Drosophila melanogaster: one gene and its partner. The protein of the gene in region 2 purifies or fractionates together with the protein of the main gene of each other region. This does not show direct contact. Each region holds a gene or a part of one and is shown on either strand. Other genes may lie near its edges. The genes, in order: PolE1 and PolE2.

Region 1 (8,176 bases), on a different chromosome or scaffold from region 2:
GAAACTATTGACGACACTGTCTCATCGATTCCCTTTGGTAGCTTTCCCCTAATTCCCGAGAAATTTGCCTGGTCCATCCAGAGCATAAAGTTCCAGCATTGCTCGAAGCTCAGTTGGATGGAGTGGAACATCTCCTTGTTCCTCAAGCTTTGCACAATGTAGTCCACATAGCCCAGGGCATCGGAAACGGTTTTCTTACCCGAACTAAGGATAATCCTGTTAAAGTCCGCATAGATAATGGTGGCGCCCAATCTCTTGAACTCGGCTATAATGCGCAAGAACATCTTCCTCATCAGATTATTCAGAGATCTTCTCAAAGCAGGATCATAGAGTAGTGCATTACTGGAGCGCACCCATCGATAGAAGTGCACGATCTGGAAGTCCGAGAAGATGTTCCTATTGATGGATACCTCTCGCAACCAACCATTCACCATGGAGCGCATAACGCGGAAGGCGGCGGAACAGAGGGCCGTTTCATCATAACTCGGCAAGGTGGCCGCCGGAACAGTGCCAATCATCTCCTCCAGCGAGACCTGCGGCATCACATCGAACGTAATGGCAGATGAGGCGCCTTCCATTTCCTGAATCCTAGTCGATTGGAGCAGGGCACTCACCGCCAGGCTATCCAGAGCCAGCTCCACGCAAACATCCGGATAGAAACCGGCCTTGTTTTGCACCACACTAATGCTCTCCTCGAATTCCGCCAACAGCCGGCTGTCGTCCGCCTCCCGGCCACCCAAATCTGGTCTGGTACTCGCCGACCACCACAGCACAAAGTTATGCCGCTGCAGCAAGCGAGCGAAGAAAAGATCCGCTCCGAAAAGCACAGTATCCGGCGGCATATTGCCAATGGGCACATGGAAGTAGCGACACTGATCCAACATCAAATCAAGAACATTGTTCAGATTCAGAAAGTGGCGTATCACTGCCCTGGAGCCCTGTCGCTGCCAATCAAGGCCAGAAAGCAAACTAGCGTCATCGGAGATATGAATCTCAGCCTGGGGAAACTCCAGCAGGATCGGCATGGCCAGGCTGAGTTTACGCGCCGACAGCGCCGTTTGAAGGCACAGAATGGTGGGTCCCTGATGCTCCTGTTTGTAGGTGGTCAGTGCCCGCTGTATGTGCCGGTAAATTTGTTTGACATCCACCTCAATGAGAACCTCAAATGTGTAATCCTCTACAGGAATTTTATCTTGCTCCTCTGCCGTCAGATTCTTGAGCAGGGCCAAACGCTCGGCGGTATACAATTGCCTCATGTTCGGCATTTGATTGGCACGCACTGTGTCCAAGGCAAAAACAAATGCCTTCTTGCTGGGCATTAGGATCAGTGACCAGATCTCCTTCTTGGCCGTCGGTGTGTTATGCTGATACAAGTAGATTTTGCGCAATCGATTGTTGGCGCTAGCCAAATATTTGACCTGAGTCTGGGGCCGCTGCTCCAGCTGCTCGATGCTAAATGTTTCCAGATCCTTGGTGGCCAATTGGGCCAAGCGACGTGCCTCCTCGCGCTGGACACCGCAAATGCAGCCCATGTCCATGAGGGCGCGAAATTCCAACGTCATCTGCGTCTCGTATATGCCCTCAATGTCGGGCGTCGCCAGATCCGCCAGCATGCCCAGCGAGTTATCCCGGAAGAGCTGTTCGGGCACACTATATCGATAGAGATTGAAAACAGGTCTGGATCGTGGCAGAACTCGATTGACCTTGCGCCAAAGTTGACCCTCCTCTGGAGGAGCTGCACTTCGCTGATTTACATAGAAAATCCTCGGTACCGTCAACTTGATCTTGTGCAACTCTTCGCCGATTAAGGCCCACACAGTGAAGTGGCCCAGGTCGTCGACGGGCACCAACTGTACGATCTGCCACGGCTGGTCCAACAGGGTGCGTTGTGCACGTCTAAGGAATCCGCCCAGTGTAGCTGTGGATCCTGTTGCTCTGACCACCGGCGGATCCTCGCCTCGAGTTCGCTTGCTCGCCTGGCGATTACGCTGGCGCTGATCCTGCTGCCATTTCCATTTCTTCTTCTGAAATCTCACCCACTCAACGATGGTCTTTCTGGTTTCACCGATGGGCGGTGGAGCGCCCAAGGCCTGACGCCAAGTGGTGGCCTGCGGCTGTGCCTCCTCGTCATCGTGCTCCTCCAGCTGGATTCTCTTTCTCTTGGTGACTATCGGACAGCCTGCAGCACCCTCACCGCCATCTTTACCAGCCAAATCTTCCATATCGGCCAGCTTGTCCTCCTCTGTGGCTAGAGGTTTCGGTTTGGGTCTGCTGGTGAACATCTCATTGATGCGACGCTGCTTGAGCACATCGTTCTTCTCCAGCATTTTCTTGTGCAACCAATCCGGATGCTGAACTCTGGGCACTGGATTGGCCAGTCCCTGCAGTGCCGCCGGTATGGTTATGATCTTCTGAATGGTCCCACCCAATCTCTCTATGTAGTAGTTCCAATCGAGCACATCGCGTATATCCGCATCGCCCATGGTGTTGTCCTTAAGCCAGCGACGCAGGTGATGTCGCCTCACGCTCGGTTCGGATTGGAAAATGGCCAAGGGAATAGCTCTCTCGGTGACGGGTGCTCCTTCGGGTTTCTTCGAAATAATGTACTTACAAGCCAGACCCGCATCCTTTACCATCTGCTCGCCCAGGAACTCAGCCAATCGCTTGGCCGTGGAGATGGACGTACTCTTTTGGGCGCCATACTCCTCAAGCTTCTTGGACATGCTCTTGTTCTCCGAAATAAGTTCGAATAGCTCCGAGTCGGGTAGATTTGATCCTCTGCTGTAGAGTACATCAAGCCAGTAATCCGCCACCTTGGCCACAGATGCATAGCATTCCTCAAGTGTGCTACCAGCGAGGAAAGCTTCGAAGACGGAACTCTGGAAATTTTTGATCAGCTGCAGTTCACCGCGTCGCTTCACCTCGAATCCCTTGAGTTCAGCCAGTGTGCCATCGAAATTAAAGACCGCATATCTTTTCTTCAGCTTCTTGCCCTCCTCTTTGGCAGCGGGTAACACCATGGCAAGGTAGGGTCCATCCACCTCGAAGAATATAGAGTTCTCATCTCGAATATCGTATTTGGGTAGATTGTTTTCCTTATCCTTCCTCAACTCGTGGTACTGATCGTTGGTAAAATGATCTTTAACCATAGTGTTTAGCACTGCATTCGGATATGATATGTTAATCTTCTTTTTCTTCTCATGGCTCGTGTGAATGGTAAACTCCTGCGGAAAGGAGCCAGGCAATATGCACCATATACCATCAGTGTCCAATTCGAGTGGTCGACCAACTCGCTCGATAATTTCCCTCGCCTTGGTGATAATATTCGAGCCCGTGAGGCACACAATGCCGGCCATAGGCATGGAATGCCAACGGGCTCCTCTCCTCATCACGTAGCCATAGAAGGAGTTCAGGATGCACTTGTGGGCCAACTGCAGGGAATCGTAGAGCACCTCCCTGCCCTTGGCTGCCTTGATCTCTGCCGCGTCTCCCGAAGCCACCGCAGCATTCACCGATGCTTTTGCCACTTTGGTTAGTCCTTTGTACTCGTAGCGACGATCGCGAAAAGCTCGCACCGTGTCCACATAGAAGCTGTTCTCCTTCTGGCAGATGGTCGAAGTGCGCGTTTCCAATTTGGTTAGCTTGGTCTTCTTGTAAGCCTTGCGGCAGTAATCCGTCAGACGTTTCTTCTCGTACGCCGCCTGATCCTCCTTGGAGAGCTCGTGAAAGGCTCGCTGTGGTCCGCCAGGGAAAAGGGGTGGAAACTTCTCGGTCTCCAGCTGCTGCTGAATGCGCTGAAACTCGTTCCTGGAGGCGGGCAACATCTCGCCGCGCCACAACCAGTCCATGGAACGTTTGCACCGAACTCCTGGCTTGTTGAAGTCACAGGCGGCACAATCTAAGTCACTAACCATTGCCGAGGGCTGCAGGCGATTGGTCAAAATAATGTTGGGGTACATGGCACCCACATCCAAGTGATAGATGACCGGCTGCTCCAAGCGATTGGGTATATCGTGCAGACCCTGTAGCCCCTGCACAATCTCCTGCCGCACTTCATCCAGATTCAAGACCTTCTCGAGCGGTATGCCTTCCTCCACTTCGATAGCGTGGCGCAGAACTGCATCAACCTGCTCCTGCAGTTGCTTGACCATAGCAGGATCTAGACGAAAACGGCATGGTATGTCCGCCCGGAAAACACCCGATTCCAAAGCCTCCACATGACCACCCACATAGGTTTCCGAATCCAGTACGTGTCCCTCGTTGGAGAGCTTATTCAGCTCACTCTGATGCTTGTTGGGATACACAATCTGGGCATGGTAAGCCTCCACCATCAGCAACGTTTCACAGAGTGTGCCGGAACCCTTTCTTAGGATCTCATCGGGTTCCATGGGAATAATCGTATTTAGGGCGAAGATAAATGGATGCACATACTTCATGTACAGATAGTATGTGGCCACCGCATCGGATACAGAGTAATTGGCCAGCACTTGGGGCTGTTCCACGGCCATGCGGCACATATCCTCCGGATCGAGTTCCACAGGATCATAGCGTAATTTAGCCTTGGCCACCGCCTTTAAGCCTTGAGATCCAACAGGTAAATAAGAATCTCGTTTCACCCAACATAGGCAATCCATGTGTATGGCAGGGCGACTTAGATAATTGCCATCCCGTAGCTTGGAGAAGCCAATCTCTTGCTTCATGTCCAGATCGTACACTGCAGCACGCGTCTCCACGAAGGGCCAATCGAAGAAGTCGCCGTTGTATGTAACAATGATGTGGGGACGCACCTCCATGATGTGATCGAAGAAGCGCTGGAGCAGCTGCATCTCGTTCTCTTCGTTGAATACTATAAAGTTACCCTCGAATTCCGGCTTGGGAGTGTACTCAAAATCGTCCACATTGGATGATATAATCTCACGATTGGTTATCAGATAACCCTGACCATCGATCATGTACGAGATCATCATAACCTGATCCGTCTGGGCATCGGGAAACTTAAGGGGCAGCTTAGTGGTTTCTATATCAAAGGCCAGGACCACGGGCTCGGGTCTGTCCAGAATATCCGGTCGGCAGGTGATCGTAGGCAATTCCACGCCACTTCTGCACCTGATATTGTACCACTGTCCACAAAAGATGCGCAAATCGATGGACACTCTGACGTGGTAAGGCACATCATGCTCCCTTATGTCCACAATACAATCCATGTAATCCTGCTGCCTCTTACCCAATGTGGCATCCTCGGAACCTGCGGAGGATTGGGCCAGCGAGGTGGCCAGCATTTGCATGTAGTATGTGTTGGATTTCTGTCGCTCCTGATTTCTCTTCACCGCGGACATGAGTTCCCTTCTAACCTTGGTCATGGCTGTCTGATTGAGAAACGAAAGTTTTATGTACTGCTGCTGCAAACCGGATAGATGATTGGGCAGATCCAAATCTTCTTTGGTTATGTGCTCCAGTCCAGAAATCTGGCCGGAATACTTGCGACCCAGAAATCGCGCCACTTCCAGATGCATATTATCCTCTGGTCGGATGAGTAAATATGGCTGATAGGCCACCGTGCATTTGAAGCGGGAACCATCCATTTGGATGAAGAACAGGTCCAAGGCAGCAATCAATCTTCTGTCCTCATCCAAAACTTCGTTCTGCAATTGGCATAGCCATTATTGGACATGATTTTCAACGTTTTATGGGCTTCCTAACTTACCGAATGCATGTTGATGAGGTAGCCCGTCCGCTCCTGGCTGTCCTTAACCCGATCGAAGCCATATTTCGAGTCGATTTTATCGTTCTCCCGGGATTGACGATAGCCCGCCTCATTGAAGAAGTCGTCGCTGTGGATAAGATTGGAAAATATCTTGTTCAGCGTGAAATTCACGAACTTTGACCACTCACCCTTCTGTGCGATTCTCGCTGACGAATTTACCCGTATTTTGCAGCACTTTGCCTTTGCTGGAGTCGGACATTTCCGTGCTGTTTAGCAGAAATAAAATAAATAAATGTAAATAACTTGTTGCCGCCAAAAATCTGCAAACGTCTCAGAAATGTGCTAACGCGTTGCAGAGAATGCTGACATTTAGCTGTTGCACAGCACTGTAAAGTAACACGTTTGGCGCCAATTTCAAAATGTTACTACAAATAAAAGAAAACAAGAAAATTATTAAATGGTTTTAAGAATATAAGTTTTACCTAGAAATCCTCAATTATTCTTAGCTTTGTAGTTCCACCTAACACAAATTAAAAAAATAATGCTTAAAATCTGATGAAATCATAAAATATAATATTTATGTTTATTTCATCACAGCTTGACCATTTTAGCTATAATTTTCCTGTAATGGGCATTAAATGCCCTATTTGCTGACAATTTAAGGACAGCTGCTGGCCAATTGAGTTGGCCTGTTGGCCATGTGTTTTCCAACTGCTGAAATGTGAAGTTTTTTCTACTAGTTCTCCGCTGCAATGGCATCATGCAGTCACGCACACAGGCGCATTCATTCATAAAAATCCGGCTCACCTACACGAGTTGTAAGATTCCAGCGCAGTGGAGAGAGGGAGAGAGAGTGGGAGAGCGGCGCGCATGCGCTCTTTGAGTTCTTTTTTTTCGCTTGCTGCACTTGTCGCCCCCTTTTATGTTTTTCAGTTTTACCTCTGCGGCAGCAATTAAGTTGCAGCAGAGGTTGACAATCAGCCATATTTTTATTGCACGTGTTTCGTTATGCAAGGCTGGTTAAGTTTTTTTTTTTTATGTGTACATATACGCTCCCTTGGCCGGGAAAATCGGGAACGCCATCAAGTTTTGTTATCCCGAATCTTATTGCCCTTTTTCTGGGTGCAGCTGGCCATTTGACTGCCGCCCCTGCACTTGCATTCACTTATGCTGTGTAATTTGTAATTTATGCGAAATGCGTTGCCGGAATATAAAAACATTGCAGTCGTTTCAGTTCCATATCGCCGCTCTCTGTCGCACACACTCTCCGCACACATAAACCTGTTTGTGTTTTTGATTTGCGCGAAAGAGAGAGAGAGAGAGAGCCTTTCGAACGCACAGTGGTTGTCATGGTCACGGTGGGAAAATATCGCGCTTAACTTTTTTTGGGGTGTCCAAAAGTATTTTCCCAAGCTGCAGCTTTCCCACATTGTGTGCAAACTTTAATAATGATAATAATAAGTTGATAATTTAATCTCACATCAAAATTTTCATATAGGTATTATTTCATATTAAATAAATATTTTATTAATTATTATAACAAAGAAACTAGTATAATTTTCCTTTTAAATAAGCTGGAACTGATATTTTGACCAATTTACTTTATTTGTCAAAAATATAGATTTGTATAAAATCCAGAATCAAAATAAATAAATTTTTATATCAGTGTACACAATTGAAAGACTGAGACTGCCAAATTTTAAAATATTTGTCTTTATTATTCCGCCCCCTTTGCATACTAAATATTTTAAATATACTAGTGATTTTGGGCACTGTTTAAATGCTTGCCAAAAACGATCGCCCGCACACACACACACACACACATACACGCACCCACACACTCTCTCGCATATTCGCACTTACACTGAGTTCTGAGCAAGCAGATTTTTTTTATAAATTGTTGCTATTTTTTTGTCGCTGCAAACACTTTGTTTTTGCTGCTCGAAATATGTAATTCTGATTTCCATTTTTTTCTTGCGCTCATGATGCACGCTCTAGTGCGAGTGCGAAAGAGATAGCGAGATTGAGGATCACCCACGCCTTTTCGTTTTCATTCCAGCGATCAAGTAAAATAGCGAATAATGTTTATAAGTCAGATTGATATAACTCTCGATTTTCATATTATTTGCCATTTTTGTTATCACTTGCCAGAGCAACACAAAAAAATATTAATCTTAGCAGCGGAGAGAAAGAGAGAGAGAAACGGAGAGAGAAGGTGCGTCGGCGTTGGCGTCAACGCTGCGTCTGCGCCAACGTCGGCGTCGCTGCCGCCTGTTGCCAGTCGGTCAGTCTGTTTTTGTCTTTCTTTCGGGAAGCGTGCACTTGCGCTACGGTAAATTCGATTTGAATGAATTATACGAATCAAATAACAAATAAATAACAAATGCAAAACACTTTGCAAGCCAAGCAAAAACCCAGTGTGTAAGTGAATGAGTGCAATAGCAAAACATCTAAAGATCTGCGCGCGCAATA
Region 2 (4,325 bases):
GCCCACCAAATCGAATTGACACTCATGGTGGACACATTTTGGAAATTGATCCCAGGGACGTGCGGCATACAACTAGCCAAGTTGCACTCATAAATCATAAATCAATAGGAGAGCAAAACGCTTCGAGCCGTTCGGCAGGAGGAAAAAAAAACCTCCCCACTTCCACATCCTACCCGGCTAATGATGTCTTAAAAAAACGATTCGGCAACTGGTCATGTGACAGCAAATGGGGGCCATCGATGTCCTCAGGTCAAACGCATTATCAAAATTGCCGTTTCAGCTGCCGAGGAGTTGCGCGCCAGCCTGGGAAATTGAATTTCCACGACCCTAAGTGGCCGGCATCGGGCAGAGTAACAATATTTTTCCAAATCGGCTTTAAGTCATGAAAAGTAATAGACAACCCCCGGTCGCCGTAAAAAGCAGATTGCGAGGCGCGTCAGCCGCACAGCCAGGAGACGATTGTGGAACACATGCTGTGCGCATATGATGACTGACGACGGTGATGATGAGACTGGGCCGCTTATCACGAGGGAACAGCCACACGCACTGGGTGCCGAAAAATGTTTCGAGCTGGCGGGCCAAGCAACATGTGAGGTCGCAGTGAGCTAAGCTCCCGAAAGAAGTTTATATCCAAATTGTTAAATTGATGGTATTCTTTCTAAATATAGGCTTGCAGTTGTTTAAAACAAAAAAAAAATTGCCCAAATAGCCCGAAATCCAAAGAGTAATCGACATATGTAATTAAATAATTATTCAAACTTACGTTAAGGTTAACTATATCATAACTACTCCAATTCGTCCGGTATCTCCGAGTCCTCAATCGTTCGCGTCGCTGGTATATACACTTTGAATGCGAACTTGGACTTGACAAAGGAGCCGGTATTGAGAACAGTGCAGCCATGTTGACTGCTGCTAAAGCTCTGACACGAATCGCCCATGACAATCAGATCCGGCAGTGGATACAACCACAGAGCAGGATCGTAGTCCCAGTGCACTGGCATGGCAATCGGATGAATGGGCACCAAATGACCCTGGCACACAATCGTTCTGGCAAAATGCTGCTCGATCTGGGACGTGTCTTCAGGAAAATGCAAGGTGTTGCGACAAAACTTGGCCATCAAATCCAGACGGCAGACCACAATCTGCTGGGTGCAGTACTGCAGGCGACACGGATTCGTAGCCAACTGGGTGCGTGGCCAGGCCTTTAGCAGCCCGGCTGCCAGGCATTCGGGAATTGGAGCACGGGGCAGAATATTAGGTGCCGTGGGATCTTCGGACGAGGGAACGAGTATCAGATCCGTTTGCTTCTTCAGCTGCTCGCAGCCAGCTGCCAAGCCACCCAATGCATCCAGGTGATGCCTCAGTTCATGATGATTCCTTGTGCTGGCCGTGAAGGGACCCATGAGCACTATAGCCTGCGGCGGACAGGAATCATAGCCCACGAACAACTGGCGCAGCTTCTCCATGACAACCGGCAGATCCAACCGAACGTCGGAAAGGAAAACAATGGTTGTTTCCGTGTTGGTACGCTCCAGTTCCTGTAGTCCGGCTGAGTACTTCAGCAGCTTAGCAGATTCACCGCCCCAAGTGTTGGCGGTGCCGAAAAATGCTCGACTGCTGTTTGCCGGTTCCGCAGGTGGAAAGCCCAGGCCATCAACTGGGGAAACATAAGAAACTCTTGAGATGTAGTTATTAAATACTTTGGGCTACTTACCCTTGAGCACACCGTTGTTATAGTTGCCCTCGGCTAAAACAAAGCAGCCCTCGCAGAAGAAGCCGGCATGGAAACGGGCTCCAGTGAGATCTAACTGGACGCAACCCGTGGGATCCTCGACATAGAACTTGCCCTCTTTAAGCTGGGTAAGTAGCCCCAAAACAACTGCCTCCTTCATCGCCGACGTGGCCAGCAGGTTCTCCGCGAACTGGAGCTTAAATTTCTTGGCCTGGGCCTCGGCCCCAACGCCATCCTGTATGACGGCTGGGGCAAAGAGATCGTGTCGCAGAGTTTTCTGTAGTAACATGGCATATCGTTGCTGCATGTAGTCCGATTTCATGCGCGGGGCGGTCAGCAACTGGCGCGGCTGAGTGTCCAGTTCGAATTTCTTTATCCGCTGGTTGTACCGAAAACGGGGCACCGTAAAGGCATCGATCAGGGCAAAGACCGTCTCCCCTTCATCCAATCCCACCCGGTTAAGTTCATTGATGGCCTTCTCCAGGGCGGCTCGCTCCACATGAGGCGTCAAAAGCTTTTGGCTTTGGAGATTCTCGGTGATCACCGTCAGCCATTTGTCCCGTTCCGCTGCGTCAAAGGGTAGCAGCTGCTCCGCCAGGTAGGAACTGTTCTCCGAGCGGATCAGGAATCCACATAGCTTGAAGGTGTTTGTTATTCGCTTTCTCAGCGGCAGTAAATCCACATCCATTGTTATTAAAAGTTTTTTCGCGCGCAAATTAGATATGGATGTTGTCAATTATCGATATCTATGTGCATTTGTGTGACCAGCCGAACATGAAGCTAAAATAGAAGGCCTAGAAAGTAATCGAAAATTGGCGGAAAAAAGTGGAGTTCAAAAAGTTGATATTTGAATGGTTTATTCAAAATAACATATATTTAACTATTTAAGGTTCAAAAAGAGGGCTTTAAAGAAGTTGGCTTTTGTTTAGTACATATTTATAATATTAAATGTCGAAATGCCCCCCAGAGATTGTGAAAAGTATGAGAACTTCTTGCTGTTCATTGGGGACTTTGGCCCCTTTCAGAAGCGACTGCTGTTTTGGATGATGCCCGCCGCCTTTCTGTTCGCATTCACCTACTTTGGTCAGATATTTATGATACTGTTGCCAAAGAATCACTGGTGCAGAGTACGAGAACTAGAGGGACTGCCGGAAAGTGAACAAAAGAATCGGGGAATCCCCAAAAAGCAAGATGGCAGTTTCGAGAATTGTTTTATGTACAATGTGCCCTACGACTCAAATGCGACCAACGATGCGAATCAGACAAGGAGCCCGATACCTTGCAACAATGGTTGGATCTATGATCGCAAGGAGGTGCCCTACGAGTCCATCGCTACCGAGTACAATTGGGTGTGCGACAAAAGGGATTTCGGGACATATAGCGTCGTTGTCTACTTTGTGGGCTGTATTGTTGGTTGCCTCTGCTTTGGATTCATAACCGATCATTCCGGTCGCTTGCCTGCACTATTTCTGGCCAACTCCTGTTCCATGATCGGCGGTTGCGTAAGTGTGGTCTGCAAGGACTTTCCCTGCTTTGCTGCCAGCCGATTTGTGGCTGGACTGTCAATGAACTACTGCTTCGTTCCCATTTATATTCTAAGTGAGTGTTGCAGAGTCAATTAACATAAATCATAAATTTAAATATCATCATCACATTCTTTTCAACAGCTTTGGAGAACGTTGGCATCAAGTATCGCACACTGGTGGGGAACTTAGCCCTCACATTCTTCTTCACCTTGGGCGCCTGCTTGCTTCCCTGGCTGGCCTATGTCATCAGTAATTGGAGGCACTATGCCATGGTCGTTGCCCTGCCAATTGTATTCATGATATTGACCAGCTTGCTGGCTCCAGAGTCACCAAGGTAAATTAATGATAACAATAGGTTTTCAAGCTATCTAAACTTCATTTCCCACTGCAGTTGGCTTATGTCGGTGGGTAAAGTGGACCGGTGTATTGAAGTCATGAAAGAAGCGGCCAAAGCCAATGGAAAAATCATTTCCGAAGAGGTTTGGTCCGAGATGCGGGAATGCTATGAACTTAAATTTGCCAACGAGCAATTGGGAAAGCAGTACACCAGTCTGGATCTCTTTAAGACATTTCCCAGGCTCGTCGTCTTAACGATTTTGATTGTCACATGGATGACTGTGGCCCTAGCATACGATGCCCATGTTCGCGTAGTCGAAATCCTGGACACAGATATATTTATAACCTTTTCCCTTTCCTCGCTCGTTGAAATTCCTGCTGGAATCGTACCAATGCTTTTGCTAGATCGAATTGGTCGCAAGCCCATGATGTCGGCTGTCATGCTATTGTGTGCAGCATCCAGTCTCTTCGTTGGTATTCTAAAAGGACATTGGAATGCATCAACGGCAGCGATTGCAGCCAGATTTTTCGCCACAATGGCCTACAATGTGGGTCAACAGTGGGCCTCTGAGATACTGCCAACCGTGCTGCGCGGTCAGGGACTGGCTATTATCAATATTATGGGTCAGATGGGTGCCCTACTCTCACCACTTGTACTCAGCACCCACCGCTACTATCGTCCCTTGCCCATGTTTATTATCACATTGGTGTCCGTGATAGGCGCTTTAATA

The links.
Region 1: the proteins of PolE2 (region 2) and PolE1 purify together in Drosophila melanogaster (affinity purification with western blotting, with the first as the bait; one study listed by BioGRID). This does not show direct contact.

What each region holds. Positions count from the first base shown.
Region 1 is NT_033777.3:23,345,978-23,354,153, reverse strand, and holds the start of PolE1 (DNA polymerase epsilon subunit 1), read right to left. Parts: upstream 6,027-8,176; 5' UTR 5,964-6,026; coding exon 5,893-5,963; intron 5,832-5,892; coding exon 5,705-5,831; intron 5,643-5,704; coding exon 1-5,642.
Region 2 is NT_037436.4:5,894,960-5,899,284, forward strand, and holds PolE2 (DNA polymerase epsilon subunit 2), read right to left. Parts: upstream 2,477-4,325; 5' UTR 2,421-2,476; coding exon 1,715-2,420; intron 1,658-1,714; coding exon 786-1,657; 3' UTR 732-785; downstream 1-731. Other genes in the region: CG5592 (uncharacterized protein), read left to right, coding at 2,689-3,331, 3,400-3,592, 3,650-4,325. UniProt on the Drosophila melanogaster protein: Accessory component of the DNA polymerase epsilon complex. Participates in DNA repair and in chromosomal DNA replication. Has a role in the entrance and progression through S phase. Has a role in endoreplication. Essential for viability and tissue development.